3 linked regions of the Caenorhabditis elegans genome follow. The protein of the gene in region 2 interacts with the protein of the main gene of each other region in a pairwise test. Each region holds a gene or a part of one and is shown on either strand. Other genes may lie near its edges. The genes, in order: ZK1055.7, scrm-7 and F37C4.5.

Evidence for each region.
Region 1: the proteins of scrm-7 (region 2) and ZK1055.7 interact in a two-hybrid assay, tested with the Caenorhabditis elegans proteins (one large-scale study listed by BioGRID).
Region 3: the proteins of scrm-7 (region 2) and F37C4.5 interact in a two-hybrid assay, tested with the Caenorhabditis elegans proteins (one large-scale study listed by BioGRID).

What each region holds. Positions count from the first base shown.
Region 1 is NC_003283.11:6,600,867-6,608,637, forward strand, and holds ZK1055.7 (Protein F37C4.5), read right to left. Parts: upstream 4,510-7,771; 5' UTR 4,508-4,509; coding exon 4,367-4,507; intron 4,323-4,366; coding exon 4,203-4,322; intron 4,158-4,202; coding exon 3,923-4,157; intron 3,870-3,922; coding exon 3,761-3,869; intron 3,305-3,760; coding exon 2,650-3,304; intron 2,363-2,649; coding exon 1,910-2,362; 3' UTR 1,870-1,909; downstream 1-1,869. Other genes in the region: ZK1055.6 (Protein F37C4.5), read right to left, coding at 1-298, 467-810, 867-986, 1,607-1,738; gon-14 (HAT C-terminal dimerization domain-containing protein), read right to left, coding at 5,937-6,039, 6,605-7,117, 7,163-7,255, 7,303-7,469.
Region 2 is NC_003283.11:14,776,450-14,783,325, forward strand, and holds scrm-7 (Phospholipid scramblase), read right to left. Parts: upstream 3,293-6,876; 5' UTR 3,266-3,292; coding exon 3,119-3,265; coding exon of another isoform or gene 3,022-3,118; intron 2,976-3,021; coding exon of another isoform or gene 2,920-2,975; exon of another isoform or gene 2,887-2,919; intron 2,839-2,886; coding exon 2,479-2,838; intron 2,378-2,478; coding exon 2,191-2,377; intron 2,149-2,190; coding exon 1,961-2,148; 3' UTR 1,754-1,960; downstream 1-1,753. Other genes in the region: haf-7 (HAlF transporter (PGP related)), read left to right, coding at 1-882; Y50E8A.10 (uncharacterized protein), read left to right, coding at 3,632-3,685, 3,738-3,824, 3,984-4,229, 4,272-4,315, 4,385-4,512, 4,559-4,629; Y50E8A.11 (Integrin_alpha2 domain-containing protein), read left to right, coding at 5,044-5,483, 5,535-5,760; Y50E8A.12 (THAP-type domain-containing protein), read right to left, coding at 6,263-6,433, 6,477-6,554.
Region 3 is NC_003282.8:3,869,415-3,876,804, forward strand, and holds F37C4.5 (Protein F37C4.5), read right to left. Parts: upstream 4,393-7,390; 5' UTR 4,388-4,392; coding exon 4,238-4,387; intron 4,084-4,237; coding exon 2,758-4,083; intron 2,712-2,757; coding exon 2,517-2,711; 3' UTR 2,417-2,516; downstream 1-2,416. Other genes in the region: F37C4.4 (Transmembrane protein 196), read left to right, coding at 137-208, 850-941, 1,228-1,499, 1,847-2,025, 2,202-2,312; F37C4.6 (Pyridine nucleotide-disulfide oxidoreductase domain-containing protein 2), read right to left, coding at 6,074-6,256, 6,300-6,561, 7,169-7,390.

The sequences.
Region 1 (7,771 bases), 8.2 Mb from region 2:
CAGGCCACGTTGTCGCCTCATCTTTAGTGCAGGTCTGTAGAAGTGAGCATCGAGAACACCTAGTTCAGGAATCTGTCCTCCGAGACTAGGTTGAGCAGTCGACAAAACAGCTGGAAATTCGTTCCAGTCTTCTCCACAATGGTTATAGATCTTTCCGAAATATGTAATAGCCATTGTTGGTTTCTCAGTATCCACGCGAATATCATAAGACGGCTGCCACCCAGCTTGAAAAACCTGATAAGTTATATCCAATTCAACGTCGCCATCTTCGAAAGCTTCAAGTGTAATGAAGACCGTGCTGAAAATTAGACTTCCTGAGTTTCAACAAACATTTTGATACTGTCACGTCCTAAAAAATTTTTCTGGTAAGTTGTAGGCACTAAACAAAGTAGAAATATAAATATTTCAGCGTTTTTCAAACTGTCCTATTGAACGTTTTGATACATAAAGTTATATTTAAACTTACTGAGACATATTGGAAATTCCGCTATTCACTAAGCGATTTAACTCATTTCCAATCTTACTCGCCATTTCAATTGTTTTGAGGATCTCATGCTCTTTCTCCCGCAACTGTTCATTCAATTTATTCATTTCAGTTTCTTGAAAATCTAACAATTTCTGAAGTCCTGTCAGCAGGTTCTCATCAATAACAACACTTCCGGATTCTCTTTTAGGATTCATTATTCCTTTTCCAATTCTTCCTACTGTCCGTTCTAATCCACCTATTTTCTTTTTCAATATATCTCTCTGATCCTCTTGATTATTACGTATTGCATTGTATTTGTCAAGCTCACTTCGCAACTCGGCAATCTAAAATACATAAGTAGCTTCAAAAATCTATGTAACAGGGATTTTTTTTTACTTACCTTCGGGGAGTCAGTTTCTGAGTTTAAAGAAGGGAGTTTTTTAGCGTTCACATCACAAACTGTTGCTTTCCCACGACCTTCAACTCTAATAGAATCACTTTGGAAAAATACAGAGAAGTTCTGAAAATTTGGAGTTTTAAATAAACATTTCATTAGTTTATATATTGTAGGAATTCAATGTTAACTTACAAAATAAGTTACTAACAGTTGTAAGTTTCAATGAAGTTGCAAAGATGCTGCTGAGCTCTAACTTTCTTGGCAACATTTGAAAACTCCCCGACAATGGCTAATGGTCTTAAACGCGAAGAATTTTTAGGTACGGTACGCCGTGAAAATATTTTGATAGCGATTTTAAAGATTTGAAAATAATAATTAAAAAAAAAATAATTATAGAAATCCCATAATATAACTCAATCTATTTTATGAACTTTTAGATTTTTATTGCAAAACTATTATTAGTTCTCCGCGTAACCATTTTGATACACCAAAAAGTCAAAATTTTTGCAAATTACCAGCATTTCAAAAGGTTTCAAAAACAATTTCAAAATAATGTTTAAATGTTCTTTTTAATATTTATTTTATTTGGCTCATTTTTACTATAATTTTTTATATACAACTTTTTCAGAAAGATAATCTACACAAAATGAGTTTTATATTAGTCTTTGTATGTAAATTATTCAAAAGTTGAGATTTAAAGTGTTGGAATTTCAATAAAATGATTTTCAAAAAAAGAAACTCACTTTTAAACAAATCTCACTAACTCCCGCTTTCAAATTAACTGGTACCCGTCGTTTCACTTCAGCTCGGTCACTGAGAATTGTAATTCCACTGATTTCCTGATTTCGAATGTCAAGTTCGTAAATTGATGCCATCTATAAGCGTAGATTATTCGATGGGCATATTATAACTAGAGGTGAAGAAAGTGCAAAAAAAACATTAAAAAAATGAAAACCGATAAAACGGAAATGGGAAAATTGTAAAACAAAAATTTCTGTAAAAGATAGACGACTTCATTTAAGTATCAATTCACTGTTGGATGTACTTTAGAAATTCTCTTGATATTGAACAGTTTCATCTTTTGGATGCTCCACCACATATTTGATGATCAGATCCTTTGAGCTGCTCGGAGCCAGCTTTATAGTCCACTCCAAGTGATTGCTGGAATTGAACTTTGCCCCTTCCACAGGCTCAGAATTCTCGGCTTCAGTGCCAGCCTTCTCCGCATCATATGGCGTAGCTGCTGGTGAAACTAGCTTCACACGGATCTTCTCGTCAGTGCTACGTGGAATCGCATGCTTCACGGTTAGGAGCACCGGCTGCTCATTTCTCGTATTTTTGATGGAGATTGTTTGCTCCGTGACATTTGCAGAGTGCTTGGTGATGTAACCTCCTTCCTCATGGTACTTCTTTGCCGGCTTGTACTCCACACGAATTGCCGTGTCAACTCCCAAAGAGCAAGTGAGTCTTTCACCTGGTGACACGTTTTTCAGGTGACTCTAAAAGTTGGATTTTATTAAAATATACTCAAACTGATTCAATGAGACTAAATATTTTCATATATCATTCATTATACAATGTTTTAGAGGTTTAATGACTTCTAGTTGAGTTTTGACAAATTTCCAAGTTTTGAAATTTTCTTTTTTTTTGTTGAAAGATTCAGATCATTCTTGTATGTTCAGAGTGAAACAAGATTGAATCGATAGAAGAATTCTTACTATTAAAATTTGGTTATTTCAGCAACTTAATTTGTTTTAAATCAATTTTCTCAACAAAAAAATCTTACTGTTGCGACAAATGCATTATTCAGATAGACAGATGAAAATCCAGCCAGGAGTGCAAGTTGAGAAGTATTAACAGCAGAAGCCGTGAGAAAAGCTGCAGCATTCTTACTTGGAACGGATTCATGAACAAGTTTTGGTGTAAGAGTCACAACTCCAATAGTAACTTTGTGTTCATCAGTACCGTGTGGAATTGTTGCTTCTCTGAGAATTTTAAATTCTGTGCTCAACGTGTTTTGGGTGATTTCTGAAGCAACAGCGACAGCCATTGGTGGAGCCAAAGTCACTTCATCTGAAAATCCGAGTGTTTCGGCTCGACGGTTCTGCGGTCCCCGCGCCCCAAATAATGAGGCTGATGCATTCATCGATCTTGTTTGATAATGTTGAACTTCAGGACGACGGAAGGTTGCTTCGAGAGTTCCAAGATCTGGAATTCTGCCAGCAAGACATGGCTGAGCAGTTGACAAAACAAGTGGTGCAGAAGTCCAATCTTCCTTTGTGAATTGACGGATTTTTCCAAAGTATGTAATGCTCATGGATGGTTTCTCTGTGTCAACTCGGATATCGTATGATGGATGCCACGAAGCATCTAACACTTGATAGACTACATTCAGCTCAGCTTCCAGGTCTTCTGTGCATTCCAAAGTAATTGTGGCAGTGCTAAAATTAAGTTATCAATTTGTTGGGAAGATAGGCAAACAGTGATCTTAAATACTACAGCTTAACAATGTCAAACAATAAGACTCAAAAAATAAATTGTTTCTAGAAATAGATGGAAAATCATATGGAACTTTTCTTTATAATATTTCGAATTTTTATTAGGGTTGGATGCTTTTTTGCATATCTTCAAATCTATCTGTAATCCCATTTGTATTTGAAAATAAATAGTGCATAGAAAGCAAAGCATAGCTCATTGTGCGCCTCAAATTTTTATGGGTTTTTTGATAGTTTTTCAAATTTTTTAAATGATTCAAAATTTGGTATGTTGCCAAAAGTTTGAGTTAAGATTAAGAAAGATTTGAAAAGACATATAAAGTTGTTTTTGCCCCATTTTTAGTATATTTTGGTAAATTCCCCGACTGGCACAATTCCACCTTAAACTTTTCAAAAACTCACTGAGAGAACGCTTCTTCATTCAAATTGTGCATTAGAGCTCGTAACTCGTTTTCCAGTTTCGAAACTTTTTCCTGTTGCTCACGGTGTCCAGCTTCAACTGATCGTAGTTCTAGAAAAAAAAATTAAGTTTTTTAAAATCTCAAATTTATCGTTTAAACTCACTTTCTCTGTATAATTCGGAGTTGCTCCCATAGAATTGGAAGAAATTTGTAAGACTTTCCAAAGTTCCTTCATTTAAAGAAGCAACACCATCTTTTGGTGGATTCACGAGACCCCCACCAACTTGTTCGAAAACTTTGTCCAAATTGTCAACGCATTTTTGGACAACCGTTCCGCGATCTGTGATTTTTTGGAGGCGATTTTTCTCCTCTAGAATGGCAGCTTTGAGATTGGTGATCTTAAAAAAAAGAATATATTTTCGAATTTTAATTATCTTGCCAACCTTTGGAGGATCAGCTTCAGTTGGCAAACGAGAAACATTCTTAATAACTACATCATGAATGATTGCATTTCCTCTTCCTTCAACTCTAATTGATCCTTGAGCCATTGTTTTGCAGAGGTTCTAAATTCAAAACTACTTGAAAAACTTGTTCATATTCTACAAACCTTGAGAACAACTTCATTGACACCAGATTTCAATGAAACTTTGACAAGACGACGGATTTCAGCTCTATCAGTGAATACTTTCACCTCGGCAATTTTAAGATCACGAGTCTCGAACTCGTGGACAGATGGGTTGGTGGTCATTTCTGAAAATGACTCTTTTTAAGAGGTGTGTATTTTCAAATATTAGGAATTCTAAAATAACGAAAGTATATATCACGAATTGTTGTTAATCATTAATATCGCTGCATTTCTAAGAATATATAGATTTACGGACGGTGATACAATCTTAATGTTTACTGTAGAAAATCTGGCTTGAAGTTAATTTATTCAACATATTGGTTTGGTATTTTTCTAACTGGTCGTACATTTCTACATTAAATGAACCAATGCATGAAATTTGAAGCTTGTAGCGATCACTATAGCTGAGATCGTGGCGAGACCTACACAGAAAAATAGTGTGCGCCTTTAAACTGAATTTTAAAATTTCAACGAATATACGATATACGCATGAGAGATTATAGCAGTAGTTGTCTAAAGACAAAGATATTTTTAAAAAACATCTGTATTTTGTAAATATTATTAATGTCATATTTGACGCGCAATATATCTCGTAGTGAAAACTACAGTAATTCTTTAAAGGACTACTGTAGCGCCTGTGTCGATTTACGGGATCATTTTGACTTATCATGTAGATATAATTTATCATATTAAGCAAAAATGAGAAAATAATACGAAGAAACGAAGAAAAATAGAGTATCGCTATTTATCACTATTCGAGAATAAATACGTTTCAAAAGTCGAGCCCGTAAACCGACACCACAGCTACTGTAGTTATTTAAAGAGTTACTGTAGCCTTCGCTACGAGATATTTTGCGCGTCAGATAGTCAGATAGCGCATTACGCATTTTCATAATTTTGTGTTGTAATAAATTCAGAAACATTATATAAACTGAAATAACACACTGAAATTTCCAAAACTAAAAAACGTAAAGTTGAATATTCAAAACTTTTCGAAAAGAAACGCGACGAGATGACTAAATTTCATAACGTTGATATCAGTAAAACCTTCAAATCATTTCAAAGAGAGGAAACTCTCTATTTATACCAAAGAGACAGAAAATGTTTCGCAATGTGTTTGTGCTGACTCATTGGAGACTTAGATGCAGAAAGGAAAACGCGATAGGATAATTTTTTTTTTTTTTTTTTCACATAATAATTCACAAATTTTCGAAACGTTTTTTTTCTCCCAAAAATATGAAATACCAGTCAGAGGGTATGCAAAGTTTCTTGCTGGGTCAACAATTCAGAAATGTCAAGGTGAGTTGGGAATACAGAAAAAAAGAAATGATAAGATACTCTTCAGAAAAATTGAGAAAAATAACATGATTGAGAACTATTAAACAGAACAGGGAAGTAAACTGGTCGATGAGAAAAGAAAACGTTAGCATAGTCAATTTGAAACAACATGCGGATATATCGAAACAAGTAGCATAACAAAAACAAAACAATGAAAATACCAACTAGTGACAAATAACTAAAGTGAATTGAGGTACAGATGTATGAGCTGGGATTATTGTGGAGGTTGATGTAGCTGATGGGTAACACCAGTTTTTGTACGAATGAAATACATCTTTTTCGATGCAGTCAGAGGAGTGTTTAAGTTGAAGGAGACTCTGAAAAGTTGAATATATTTAATTTAGGTTAATAATGGTATCAGCAGAAAGGATGTAATTTTATTTTAAAAAATCGAACATTTTGTTTTTCGATCTTTTGGAAAACATTTCATTTTTATGAATAATGTCATTTCTCTGATTTGAGAGATAAATCTATACATACTTTCCTCGTATTTTTTTTGAATAAAATTTTATTTCCAAAAAAAAACAACCGAACAACTTTTTCTATTTTCTATGAGAAATACCGGAAAATCGAACATTTTATGGCGACACCTTTGATACAAGGATGTCGGTTGTTTGATTTCTCACTAAAATTAAAAACCAAAAATTGTTTAATTTTTGAAAAATCGAAAACTTTCAATTTTCTGATATTTCGAAATTTTTTTTTGATTTTTCAAAAAATAGCTCAAAATTCTTAATAATTTCACTGCTTTTTAGAAAATATTCATGTTTTATTATGCTTTCTCATCAACGTAAACATTGATTTAAAAAAAATATTTTCTGAAACATTTTTTTTCGATATTTCAAAAATCGAATATTTTCTTTTTTTAATTGATCAGCTCACGAAGGGGTATTTCTGATAACTCGTAATACTTGACCATCTTTTCCGCGAATCACACTTGTTCCATTGCCTGCCGCAGGTCGTACTGCGTAGTACCTCTTCGGTGGAGGAGCCGATGGAGTCAGTTGTTCAACAATGCCCTCTTTGGATTCGGTTTTAACGACAACAGGCCTCGCGTACGGCGATGATGAAGCAACAGTGTACACTCTCTGAATCTTCTGTCTATTCGCAGCGATTTTTGCAATTTCATCTTTCAGACTTCTTCCATGTGGTGCTTCTCTGTTTGTTCGAATTGTGGGAAACGATTGTAGAATTCGATGCGGTGGAAGTGGGTTTGGATTCTGATACACAAATGGCGTTCGTTGAGGAATCATTCGTTTTGGAGGCTCGTCTGATGGTACATCTACAATCTGTAGAGCTCTCACATCGATTGCATGATACCAAGCATCTTCAGGAGAATTGGCGTCTTTTCTTCGCTTTACGCAAATTGGTTTGCACATCAAAGATCCCTTCGAGCTATAAAATAATAATGAGTTTTGGAGATCTAAGAATTAAAATTACCGATATTCAACTAATTCACTCGCTGCACGAAGTAGCATTTTCCTTTTTGAGATATCTGATTCGTTGATCGAATGTGTAAGGATACCGTACTCTCTGTAAATGTCAACTGTATTGAAATTAAGCGAATAAAATTTCCTAACCCGAGATAATAAGCGGCATCAATCGAAAACGCTGGAATTATGAAAAGCTCTCTGGCATATTTGTACAGACGAGGGAAGCGACCGGCGTGACGAGCCCACCAATCCATGATTCCAGTTTCAACACCAGTAACTCTGCACACATACTGTGAGAACGCATTGACCTCTTTCTGTAAAAATATATACCATAGGAATGAATATCGTGATTTCTAGAAATGTTGACATGCCTTCCTAAAAAAGCGAAGATTTATACAGATAGGTCTCGAAGTTTTTTTTTATATTTCCGGTCACCTTCTCGTTTCTCAAGGAAATTACTTCATTTCTGGCAAATTTTGTGGTTTTTCAAATTTTCTGTTGAACATTGTTTTAAATCAGTTTTCTACATTTTTCCGGCCGACAAAAGGTTAGAAAATCATATTTAAAACCATGTTTAACAGAAAAATAAAAACGGCAAAAATCGCTAGAAACTACA
Region 2 (6,876 bases):
ATGAAAACCATTGGATCGTCACGAAAAGTAATCCATATCATGAATCGCCAACCAGAACTCGACTATGAGTTCGGAACCGAGACACCAGAAATTGTTGGAAACATTATCTTTGAAGATGTTGAGTTTGCTTATCCAACTCGCAAGAATGCAAATGTCCTGAATAAGATAAATTTATCAATTGACCCAGGAAAGACTATTGCATTGGTTGGACCAAGTGGAAATGGAAAGTCGACATTGGTTTCTTTGATTCAACAATTTTATACTCCACAATCTGGAAGAATTTTGATAGATGGAACACCAATTCAGAACATTGACCATCTCCATTATCACACAAACATTGCACTAGTTGCACAGGAACCAACTTTATTCTCTGGAACTGTTCGAGAAAATATCCTTTATGGACTTGAAAATGGAACGGATGAGGATATGATGCGTGTAGCTGAAATGGCGAATGTTCATGAATTCGTGTCTAAAATGGAGAAGGGATATGATACCAAGTGCGGGGAAAAAGGAGTCCAAATGTCTGGAGGACAGAAGCAAAGAATTGCAATTGCTCGAGCTTTGATCCGTGATCCACGTGTTCTGATCCTTGACGAAGCCACATCGGCGCTGGATTCAGAGTCTGAAGCTATGGTACAAGAGGCGTTAAATCGATGTGCTCGTGAACGAACTGTATTGGTGATTGCTCATCGTTTATCCACTGTGAGAAGTGCTGATCGAATTGCTGTAATTGAAAAGGGAAATGTAACCGAGATGGGAAACCATGAGGAGCTGATGAAAAATACAGAAGGACTCTATTACAAATTGGTGAGCAAACAATTGGATCCGTTGATTGGAACGAAAAAAGAAGAAGAGAAGCCACCGGCGACTGAGTTCTTCTAAGATATTTTCACTATTTGTTATTTATTATGGGAACGTAGAAAAATTCGTTCTTTGAAATCTAGGTACAGTGCCACATTGGAGAGATCAGCCCCAGAACATTGAATCAGGTTGGAATCCGTAAAAAACATATTTCTGCGTACCCATAATATTTTTACTTATTTATTTTTGTTTTAAAAATCATGGGTTTACAATTTTACAAATTAGTCATTTTTGGTCATCCTGTGATCTCCTTCCTGGTTTTGATTCATGCATTTTATTTTTGCCACCCCTTCCCCAACAGCTTCATAATTTTATTCATTTTTGCAGCTTTTTCATATTTGAAATAATTGCATTGTTTTTGAAAAGTAAATCATTCTAGAATTAAAAGGTGAAATTAGTCATAGTCAGGTATTAACATTTTAAAATATGCAGTCTTCAAAATACAAAAATTATGTCTCTTCGAAGTTTGGAATTCTCCTGGAACTCGTGCTCGAAGGCGCACGAATGATATTGAACGGGACTCGCCGCGATCTGAATTGTAAGCAGAGTTTTTCGCTTTTTTTAGATTTTTCTTGATTTTATGAGGATTTCGCAATATTAACCAGAAGGGAAATGTTGCTCAAAAGGTACAATACGATGCATCGCAACGAACATTTGTGTTAAATCCAAAATGGTGGGAGCCTTTGAGGATTACTGTAATTTACTAACTTTTCAAATTGATTTTTCACTTTCCATGATTCTTTCGAAACTTGACAAGCTATTTGAAAAAATCGACGCAACAGCAAAACGTTAGAAATTACAGTAATCCTTGAAGACTCACCATTTTACATTCAACACAAATAATGAATATTTAGTCACCGTTATAATAAAGGCGATGGACGAAAATCATGGTGAAACGTTTTATAGGAAAGTTGAATACGGTTTACAAACAGCTCAATCAAAGATATAGCATCTTTGAAAATGAAATCTGTGGAAACTTTTAAATCAATTTCTGAACGAGACTTTGAAAGGTAAAGAATATTTGAAACGAAGGCTTTTTTAATAAATAAAATGCAGAATTTGAAAGAATCCATTTGACATCACACTAATACCCAAAAAATCAATAGAATCCAGGGAAATATCCAGAAGAGAATCCACTATGGTAAGAACGTTGTCTAACATAATGTGATCCTCCATATCCACGATACATGTTATTTTGTTGTCCATTATTTTCAAAGAATGTGAAATCGATAAGGAATACAGACGAGATGAGCAAAAGCTTCAAGATTGGTGGAAGATCCATTGGGACTGTAAAATTGAGAATTAAATTAGTTTAAAGAAGCTACTTACAATGCACAATATAAGTATCTGCATCAGAGTACATTTCTTGCATATATCCAGGATAAAGGCGAACAATTTCACCAACTCTCATTCCATTGTAGGTCATAACTGGGAAGCTTCTGGTTCCACCACTTGCAGCAAACAACGGAGAACGGATCAGAAGAGATTGATTGCTTCCCGCGCCGAGAAGATGGAACTGAAAAAAATATATTCACGAATGTTTCAGCCAAGAAAGTGAAAATGTTTCCCAGAAGGTAACCAAGTTTTGCCAAAAGACTTGATTTCTCATAAACTCACATTGACATCCCCATGAGTTCTCGACATAATTCCAATATTCTGTCCCAGAAACTGTGTAGTCAAGTGATCCGTGAATGATCCCCAAGGCTGATCTCTGTGACATTGCATAACATGTGCACCAAATAAATCTGTACACATCATTGCAAAGCTTCGATGAGATCCTTGCATTTGACGAGCAAATCCATTGGATCTTTCCATACAATTCATAATCGGACGACAGTACATATCATGAACAACATATTGATTTGGCGTCTCGATTCCTGTTGCAATTTCCAGAGGTTCTAGTGCTTGAACAACCATCATAGAGTTGGTCCGAGAAATCATATCCAGAACATTGTGAGCCGGAAGGTTGTTGAAACCCTGAAATACAGCATTTTTGCATGAACTCCGGTGTAACGATGAACTTACGATTTTTTTTTATTTTCTCATTTAATTAATTTGTTAAAAAATCGGTAATTGAACCCTGCCACACTTTACACACTCACAGTCGGTGTCGCCTAGAAGGTAGCCTTTATAAGCGACTTTCACCTAACTTCAGCCTACCGATAGACAAACGACAGGCATGCACAAACACATGAGACACTTGCCTACCAAATAAGTCCCAAGGCAAAGACATATGATGTTTCTCTGTGTAACTCACTGTCATTCTAACTGGCATAGAAGCCACTTGATTTGGAAGAACGATTGGTGTCGATCGAACTTGTGGCATGTGTCCACCTCTTCCAGCTTGTGCTCGAACTTCAGAACCATCGGCTTCCACGTCATCCTGTTTTGTTTCCATTGTCATGAGTAAATGCACCTTCTTCGTCACGAATGAACTCTAGTAATGAACAAAAATCGGTACTTTTCCGATTTCTGCCCCCCCCCCCCCCCAAAAGTTTTTGATATTTTCATTAATGAAACGTGAACTTTTCGGAATTTCAGGCTTAGTATTGCTGTTTTCAAAGCTTAAAAATTGAAATAGTATTCAAATAAACGTACCCAAAAATCAATGAATAAACTTTCAATAAAACACGATGAGAAAAAAAATTAATTCCCGTGAGAGAAAAAAAATCAAATATTCTATTCACTTTTCGATTCAATCAATACTCGAATCCACATACTCATATTCGATTATTTCTCAATTTATTCCGTTTATTAAACGAATCATGTGATGGCGGTTTGTATGGATACATTCTTTATCTTCAACTCTTTCATAATGATAACGGTGAGCTACAATGACTACAAATTGCACTGACACTACAAACTATAAATTACAGAGCACCATATTCATCATTTGCTTTTGCAAACCACCCCGTCAGAAGAACAGTTGTCATGTTCGGGAGATGACAAATTCCATGAGAGCGGTATGTGAGGGGGAAGCTGCAAAAATCAATGAGTAGGCACGGAATAGGCATGATGCCGGGCAGGCAGGCGGATGTTGAATTTCTAGTACCAGAACACTTTGAAAACCGAACACTGATTAATCTGTAATATCTTGTAATCTCTATATTTCTGATTTTTAGGCGCCGATCTCGGATGCAATACCGGATAGTACTCGAACTGCGTTGGACAAAGAAGAGAAGAAGAAAAGGAGCAAAGATTCATCGAAAAAGTCAAACAAGAAGAACAAAAAGAAGAAGTCAGCGGATTCTTCCATGAAAATTTCGAAAAAATCGAGCAAGTCGAAGAAATCCAAAAAATCTGAGAAAGGGAAGAAACCAGAAGCCCGAGGGAGGGATGAGGGCGAGAACTCAACGCAAAGATCTGGAGTGAGTTGAAATGATGTTCAGGTTACCAGAGTTCTTTTTCAGGCGGCTGAGACAAACGGACCACCCGTTACAGCTAAAAGTGCATTGTGAGTTTCGCCTGATGCAAGTTACAAATCCCGGTCAAAGTTTTGTTCCTAACTATTTCTGATTTTCAGGAGTAAAACCGCTAAAAGCGTTCCGAATGCCCCTAACACCAGTGTCAAGCCGACTTCTCTAGCTGCCAATTCTCCAGCCCCGTCGTACACAAACCCAGGAACACCAGCTGCTAATTCGGTTCCCGATAGTCAGTTATTTTAATGAGGAAAAGATCTCAATGAATATTCTTTCAGCAGCCAACCCAAGATCGCTTCCAGTTGGAATTCCCGGTGCTCCAGGCTGCCAGTCAATGCCAGCGTTTTAAAGAGAACTACTATGTGAAATAAAAGCTTTTTCTTGGAGATTTTGTTTTGAAATTACTTAATTTTAAAACAACTTTTTACAGTATTGAGACCAATTTTTAGAAATCTGAGTTTGAAAAGATTTTTCAATAATTGATTCCAATCTTCAACATTTCCAAGATACCCGATTTTTCTGGGATATCTGCAATTGGAGTTACAGCTGGAACATTCATCTCCAGCCATTTGTAATTCCAATAACAAGGTGAAGATGTGCAGGATGACAATTGGAATATGATGACATTTCCAGAGAAGGCGTGGTTTGTCTGGAATTGGTATATAAGCAATCTATCCACCCGGGATAATCATTTAGTCTAATTTGCTCCTCTCCAATCAGAATGTGTTCTTATTCAACATTTCTCTATCTTGTCCTTTTTCCAATGGTTTCTGCCACTGGACATCTTCGTCTTGAGCTCACTGCTTCTAGTCATTTTTCATTGCATCTTTCAACTAATTCAAGTCTTCAAACTGTGGAATTGGCAATGGGAGCTTCAAGAACTCTCAGTTTTCATCCAAAAGATCATCAAGAGACTCTTGAAATTGTATTTTCAAAGGAATTCAACTTCCCATTGAAGTATGCTTTTAAAATGGAAACTGATGATAGTAGCTATCAAACATTTGCATTCACTGATATTGTTCTTCTTGTTAAATCGACTTTTGAATGTGATGCTGGTTTCAATGGAAAATCATGTCAAGAGAAGACTACAAGTACAACAACTACTACTTCTACTACAACTGAAATCACAACTACTACCACTACAGTTTTGATTTCGGAAGTTCCATCAACTACTCCAATTATTAAAGTTGCAGCATTCCAACAGTAAGTTATCACATTAACCAAAGCAAGAATCAACTCAGTTCTAAATTTCAGATCAAATCCCTCAAATATTGTTCTGTACTCCGTGCTTATCCTCGTCATAGTCACTCTTCTCATCTTGGTTTTCATAGTTTTCTTCCTTCTCAAATTCCCAAAGAAAAACGTCTACATTCGACCAGAAACTCCAAATTTGGAAAACTGCCCAGTGAAGATTGAAGATTCTAGATTCTTTTCTCCTATGAGCCCAAGATATACCACCGAGCCACATAAACTTTTTTGACTTTAAATTGTTAATATTCAAATCTTAAGATGGTCCAAAAAAAAAAATATAACTAAATGAATAAATTCCATACTTTTAATCCAATTTATTGTAATTAGTTTGTGCCTGTGCCACAGTTTTGGTCCGTTAGTCCTTTTTTGCTGGCCCGACTTGTCGAGATGAACGTGATGTTACTTTTTATGTTAAATACTCTCCTGGTTAATTTAAATATTTAAAAAAAATAACCAGGAGAATCGGAAGGTGCCAAAAAATGTTTTTTTTTTCATAATTCTAAAAAAATTTATTTTTTCAACCACAAACACCACTTTCTTTAAAACTTCACAGATTTACTTATTAATGTCTGAAGCTCCACAACAGCTCAAAAACCGCTCCTCAGCCGGGTCCCATTCTAGAAAAAAATTCGTCTTGAAGTAATAGAAACAGTATACAAGAAAAAATAGTTACGTTGCCAATAATTATAAATTCATTTCAACACAATACAAATCAAATATTAAAAAATAAATTAATCAAGTTCTTCTTTAATCTCATGCTTCCGTCTAGCTTCATCTGCCTCTTCCATTGTCTTTTTTACATGAAGAAAAATGGTTTTCATCAGGAAAGTCATCGAATTCGGATCCAATTCTCCACCTCTACCCTTCAAATCACTCATTATTTTCAGACGTTTAGCAGGGATCTGAAAATTACATAGGTTTTGAAAAACTTTCGACGAAAATTACCGGTTCCTCTGATGAGTCGTCTGGCACAAATGATGAAGTGCTTCTGAGATCCACGTGTCGGATGAAAGTAGCGTTTTTCTGCAATTAAATATCGGAATTAATTTTATTTTTATATTTTTCTCAGATTTTTAGAACTAACGATATTCAAGTTAAAGTCAAAGTTGTGAAAACTAGGCCACGTAAATCGATAAGCCTATGTCGATTTACGAGCCATGTCTTTTGCTGTTGGCATAAGCTCACATGGCATGCTTTTCGATCTTGAAATGGAAGAGAAACGATGACGAAAATAAAAACTAGGCCATCATTGTTTGGCTCCTCTAGACATGTTATTTTTGTAGATTTACGAGCAATCATGAGATAATCAATATTTTCGTATAATTTTCGAGTTTCAATAGATTTT
Region 3 (7,390 bases), on a different chromosome or scaffold from region 2:
CACGAGTTTGATCGAATTGTGAGTGTCAGGGTTTTCTCGGTAAATAACAATATTTTCGTATTCCAAGTTATGTGATTTGTGGTTTTTCAAACCGAAAATGTAGTTTTCCTTCAGAAACTAATCTCATAAATTGCAGAAAAATCTAAGCATGGGACTATTACGACCAAATTTCGAGGAGCCGACGGCCAGATTGATGCCAGGACCGGTGGTAAGTATTTTGGGTTGCAAATCCGCTCTATTTATAATTTGTAATACTCTGTTGTCAATGCACCCTAGCGATACTTGTGCAAAAGCGGCCTAATAGCAATAATGGTCATTTTGATCAAATTTTGTATAATATGCGAACGCGCTCTAATGATAACTTTCTTGTAATAAATTTTTTTTGTGGTCAAGATGCATTGACACAATGTTGACAAATTTTCAATTTTAATTTAAAATGCGCTCTAATGATAACTCTTGTTAAAACATCAAACGCGCTCTAATATTGACAAACTTTTTAAAGACTCAATTGCAAACATGCTCCAATTATAACTTCAATTTTGGTGTTGCAAACGCGCGCTAGTGATAGGATCAGGTTTAATGTTGCAAATACGTTCAACTAATAGTGAGAACAGTGAAATCCTAATAGCAAAAGTTATACTTTCTCCCGGAAACTGTTCCATACATGTAATCTATCGATTCCAATCACAAAACAAGGCCACATTGGAGTAGTCACATGGGATTCTCCTACCTGCCTCCCCGAGGCAGTATATCCGAATACTTGTCTCTTTTTTGTCGCAATTTTGCGTTTGAAACTGTAGCTTCGAACCTATAAAATATGTATTTTTAATTTAAAATAAATATTTGCAGACTTCTGAAGAAGAAGAGGAGTTCTCATCAAACGAACGACGGCGTTATAAGGCTTATACAGTAATGCAGAAGGCAGGATTTCAGCATACCGAGTAGGTTAATGTAGCAGACGACATTCTACGGGTACCCACGAAATGTCGGTTGCTGGGTAGAAAACTTAGGACTCATCTTAAATAGGTCACAACTTTTTAAAAGGATTTTTTGTCGATGCACCATGTTTTCAATCAAATAATGTCAAATGAAAAACATAGTTTATTATATGTTTCTTCTTTTACAGTAGAAAATTAGTTGATAGCTTCAAAATGAAGGTGTGGGCTCGCGAAATTTTTTAAAACCGATTTTATGCCGATGCACCATGCCTAAAGTTCTTTTTTTTAGATACGCCCAAATAATGGTGCACCTGTGCCGCGCGGAGATCCTCATCTCGCTCATCTTTTTGGCTCATGGCACCACATGCCCCGGCTACCCGACAGAAGCCGAATACCAATCCACGTGCCATATGAATACGGTATCAGCAATTGTCAGCTTGCTCACCGGAGCCATGGGATTGGGCGCTGTGCATAGATATCGGTGGAGGACCATGCTAATCTTGTGGCTCGTTTTTTGTATCATGTCGGCTGTCGGAAGTCTGCTAGCTGTGATTACTACAGGTAAGAGAGTTTTTTGCCGAATGGCTTATATCTCGATCAGATTGAAAGTTGTTCAGAAATTTTTCAACAAAGTTATACTTTTTTGATATCCATTAAAGTTGAGTAAAACTAAAACAATGTCATTTTTCTTCATGGTGCATTGTTGAACATAGAAACTGATACAACAAGTTGTTTGTCAATAACTTTTGGATAAAACCAAAAAGAACTGAGATATCAACTCTCAAAATCAGGCAAACATGGTGCAACGAAAACTTCATCTTTGGTTTTATAAAAATTATTAGCTAACTTTATACACTGTTCCTTTAAAATTAACCGAGGTATGGGATTTCAATTAATTTTTTTCTCAGGCATCTGGCTCGACCACTACTCAAAAATGAAAGTCCGCACGGCAATCGGCAACGGGTTATCCGGTTTCATGCTTTTGGCATCAGTTGCTCTTGGAGTGTGCTTCATCTTGACCGCTGTCATGATTTGTCATTATTGGAACTCCAACACCACCGGCTATCAGCCAGTGCAGAAAATTGCAGTGAGTTGACAAACCTCGTTTACTTTTAAAATTATTACCAATTTACATATTGCAAAGTTAAGAAAACGTGTTTTAATTATTTCGCCAATTGAAAACTTTTTGACAAATGCAAAAAAGCTCTTAAATCACATGGTGCATCGAACCTTGTTCCAGAAATTTCCATAAACCCTTTGCAGAAACGCGCTAGATCTCTGCGCCGTCGATTGAGCCGAGCAAAGAGCTGTGACAAAAAAGATGCAAGACCTCCAACCAGCAATCCAGAAGATAAGGGTTATCATATCGTGTGATTTTTTTTGTTCTTTTTTCTAAATTCCAATTCCATTTGTTGCTCAAAACGGGTCAATTCCATCATTTCAATCCATTCTGTGTGTCTCAAAGAAATCAATAAATTCTGAAATTACACATTTATTTTACATATTTGGCGACATTAAAGGAATTATTTATAAATTATACAGATCAAGTTAAAGCGGAAAAATCATCGCATAAGCACTTCAGAACTTCTCCTCATAGCGAATTTGCTCAGCCTGTGGGTGCTCGGTAGTGTACTTGACGACGAAAGTGCTGGACTGTCCTGGCGCAAGTTGGACGGTGTAGTCGAGAATCTTCTCCGGAGTGATGGCGGCTCCGACGGTTGGCTCGACGCTTGCCTCGTCGACTTCCACGGCTTCTGGGGTGTTGAGGTGGACCTGAAAAATGGGAAATTTAGGGGCTTTTTATGTATTCAATCTTTACCTTAATTCTAGAATCTGTGGATCTTGGCAACTGCTCGCGAATGGTGAGAAGCACCGAGTTGGGGCGAAGATTAGTGACGGCAGTGGTCTTCTCGGTGACCTGAGAGTTGATCTTCTCGACGGTTCCGCTCTGTTCCTGGTAGTTTCTGACAGGCTTGTACTCGATGCGGATGTTCGGGTCGACGCCCAACGACACCTCAAACTTTTGCGATACGACCGCATCTTCGAACTCGGTCTTGTTGACGAATGCTCCGTCGAGGAAGATCGATGCCTGACCGGCGACGAGTGGGTAGTCGGAGGTGTTGACCGAGTTGGCGACGAGGAACGCGGTGGCGTTACGGGATGGGACGGTAACGTTGGAGAGCTTGGTGTCGAGTGTGAATTGTCCGATGTTCACCTTGTACTCGTCGGTGCGATCGTCGATGGTGGCGGGGCGGCCAATGCTGAACTCGGAGGCAATGTTGCTGGACTTCACAGCCGCATAGGACATTTTCATGGATTTTCTACTTCTACCCATTTCCATCATCGGAGCCGCGCAGGCCATCACCACTGAATCCTGAGCGTAACCACCTCCATAACCTCCTCTTCCACCTCTGTTACATTCTGGTTCGGGCACAACAATCGATGCCTCGAGGGCTCCGAGCTTCGGAAGTTGCTTAACTCCGTGAGCGGGTCTTGCGGTTGACAACACCAATGGCACTGTCTTCCAGTCTTCTCCACTGTACTGACGGACCTTTCCGAAGTAGGTGACGTGCATCTCAGCTTCAACACCAGCAGTGACGCGGATGTCGTAGAACGGGGTCCAGGAGACGTTGTTCACTTGGTAGGTGATGGTGAGCTGTGCAGCACCACCGGCTTCTGACTCAACAATAATACTGGCATACTGAGCAGAGTTTCTCCATCTGTATCCGGTATTGTCGTAGTCTTGGCTAGCACGGGCGTACTCTTCCTCGGCCTTTCGCAGGTCTTGATCCAGGGTTCGGATCTGAGCGCGAAGATCCACTGTTGTGTCTTGATGGAATCCGTGGAGGGCGTTGAGACTTTCAATTGTGCGCCCGTCAAAATGGAAGGCGCCGTCCTTTCCGTGCTTGGCGACTTCGGTGATCAGATTGTCAAGTCCCTCGATGCGCTTCTGTACGGCAACTCGGCTATCGGCAACCTTGTCCTTGGCGCGTTCCTTTTCCTCGAAGATCGCCTTAATTGCGAGAACCCGCTCCGGGATCACAAACTCGGCACCCTCCTGGTTCTTGACGGAGACGTCGTGGATCACAGCTTCGCCGGCTCCGGAAACACGGATCGAGTCCTGGACGAGGTCGAATGGGAGGTTCTGAAAATTTTTTTATCACATTGTGTGAGTGTTTTTATGACTTTAACTTTGACAGGTAAGGTAAATATTGGAAATTTCGATGGTTTTGTTTGCTTAGCAGTAAAAAATGCAAAAAAAAATTATTTTTTCTCGTATTTTATAGCCCTTCACTCACCTGAACTTTAACCTCATTGTAGCCATGAGCCAACTCGACCTGGAAAGTTCTCTTGAGCTCAGCGCAGTTCGAGTCGGAGCTGTAGACGAGAGCCTGGTCGATGGCGACGTCATGGAGGGTGAGCTTGTGAGTTTGCACGATGTGAGCCATTTTTTCTGGAAATTTTGAGGTAAATTTCAAGGGAAAATTTGAAAAAGTGAGGCTAAGACGAGAGTTTAACAAATAAAATTCTACAAAACTGACTATTTTCTATTTTTTTTTCAACAAAAAAAAAACACAAGCAACTTCCGAATTTCTCCCAACACAAAAAAGAAACAAACAGAAATTGAAAGTGTTCATTTTTACGTAGATCAAAAATGTTCAAAATTAACTACGATTTTTTGAATTAAAATTTCATCTTGCAAAACACTGAAAAATCTAATTAGAAAATACAGAAATTGATATTTTCCAACAAAAAAAATCACGTAATTTTCAAATTTCGCACATTTTTTAAATGTTGCTAGAATACTGTGAAATACTACAAATTACAAATTTAAAAAATTGTTTCATGATAAAATTCCCGAAATTTCAAGTTTCGCAATAATATCCGAACTTTTTCGAAAAAAAAAAATTGAAAAATGTCATTACTTTCGCTCGTTTTAGACAAAAAATTTGCAAACTAGAGCTATTTATAAATGGAAATAAAGCTTTGAAGCTATTTTTCCCCGGAACTCACCAAAAATATAGGAAACTGCGATTTTGGCAGAAAATGTATTTGAAATAAAATGAAAAAAAAAATCGAATTCCCAATAATTTTTTTTGAGTAAAATACGATATTTCACGTATTTCGCAATCTTATTTTTCGTATGTTATTTCGAGAAGTTTTCTAGTTTTGAAAAAGCCTTAAAAAAGTAAAAATGTAAGAGAAAAAGCGGAAAGCAAAGCTCAAACGATCAGAAAACCATGGGAAACCCGAAAAAAAAATCTCCATAGAGATTTGAGGGAAACACTCCTCTCAACAACTAACAAATTGTGGCGTTTTGGCCGCTCTTTTATACGAGTTTTTGGCATTTCTTTCGCTGTCTCTCTATCTCTTCACAAGAGGCAGCAGACAACACAAGAAAAAGGTCAAAATCAAGCGATGGGCGGCATTCTGTTGTGTTCCGATGAGTTTCTCTCGGTTTTTTTTTCGAAACTGAGACGAGTTCAACCTTTGACCAAGTGGCGATGAGTTTTCGTACTTGCTGTGTTGGCGAAAAAAGATCCTGCGGAAGGAGCTGTAAAACTGGGAGCACAAATCACACTAGACTACTCAATAAAAATACGAATTTCACAAACTACAGAACCACAGCTTTTTTTTTGAAAATTTCAAGACAAATCTGTGGAAAATTGATTTTTAACCTGAAAAATAGAAAAGCTTGACAGTTTTCAATATACCAAATTACAAATGTTTGCTTTTTTTCAGGTATGAACATAAATTGGATATAGTTTTTCTTTTTTTTTTTAAATAGAAATTTCAACTATTTTTTGAAGAATTAATTTTAAAATCCAAAGAAAAATACATACGTAAATTCTTTTTAAAAATCTGAAATTATTTCCCAAACTTTTACGAACATTTTTGAAAATTTCTATAATTTTCTGAAGATTTCCCGCTTAACATTTCTAATTCCACCAAATCACTCAAAAATCAAAGGTCACCGCAACTAAATCGTGAATCAAAAGATCACTTCCTCGTCGTCTCCTCAGCAGTTTCGAAACACACATTTTGCAATACATCATGGTGTTGGAAATGTTTTTATGAGTCACTGGCGCAAGACAAACAAAACAATAAAAAACCGCGAGAAGAGACTTAGAACGTTAGAAATGTTTGAGGGCATGAAGTGCGCTCAACCGACCGGGGGCTCCAGTCACACCACCTCCCGGGTGAGCACCACTTCCGCAGAGGTAGAGGGACTCGATGGGCGTTGAGTAGTTGCTCCATTTGCTGATCGGGCGGGACACGTACAGCTGGTCAAGGCTCATAGATCCGTGGAAGATGTTCTGAAGCAAATTTTGAAAATTGAGCCTTAAAAATGGGACCTACCCCTCCAGTAATCCCAAAAGTGTTCTGAATATCGGGTGGGGTCAAGATGTCATAGCCTATGACACTTGATGAAAAGTTCGGTGCATAAGCGTCTATCTCCGAGAAGACGTGTTTCGCGTATTCTGTCTTCTTTTCTTCCGTCCATTCACCGTCTTTCGGTGAGAAGGGAGTGTACTGGGTAAAGAGGAGGACGACGTGACCATCAGCACTATCCACAATGGTTCGGTCGACTGAAGAGGGAATTGTCATCTCGATGACTGGTCTGCAAACTTTTGAATTGAAGTTTATGGCGAGAATGATGGTATCATGAATTCTAAAAGGGGTTTTACAAATTGTCAGAAATCCTGAATCATTCATCGAATTTAAAATATTTATTTGATCAGAAAAGGAACTGTGTCTATTCACGAAGTGTCAGAGTGCGCCATGTTGGTTTGATCTACGTAGATGTACGCAAATTTAGATGCAGTCTTCTCAACTGTTTCGCATGCTTAAAAACGTGCTGACGTCACATTTTTTGGGGAAAAGTTTCCGCATTTTTTGTAGGTCAAACCGTAATGGGACATGCTGACACCACGTCTTCATTCGGATTGTTAATAAAATGTTTAAATTTTACAAATTCCCTGTCAAAACTTTTACTTTAGCTCAAGAAAACGGGGGAAAATGTTATGACACTGAAAACGGCCGCGACTAGTCGAATCCTATACGTAGTGTTAGGATGTCCTATTACGGTTTGATCTACAGAAAATTCTTCAGAATATTCGGCAGTTTGGACCGCAACCTACCGTACCCACAAAGATACAAGACAAATTATAGGTTTAACAATTTTCAAATTGCCGCCCACCGATGAAAACCCCTCTGAACCAACTAACCTTCTACTATATCTCCCGTTCTTATAATCCATCACCGCGTCATGCACCACTTGCATATTCTCACAGTTCATATGAATCGTCGTCTGATGATGTGGCATTGGCTCTGATCCTTGATTCGGTTTGGCCAAGAAGTTCGGAAGCTCCTTCACAGCTACATTGATTTTTGTCACCGGCGATGTGTAGTCGATTTGATTGATGTTTCGGTGGAACTCCTCTGGAAGT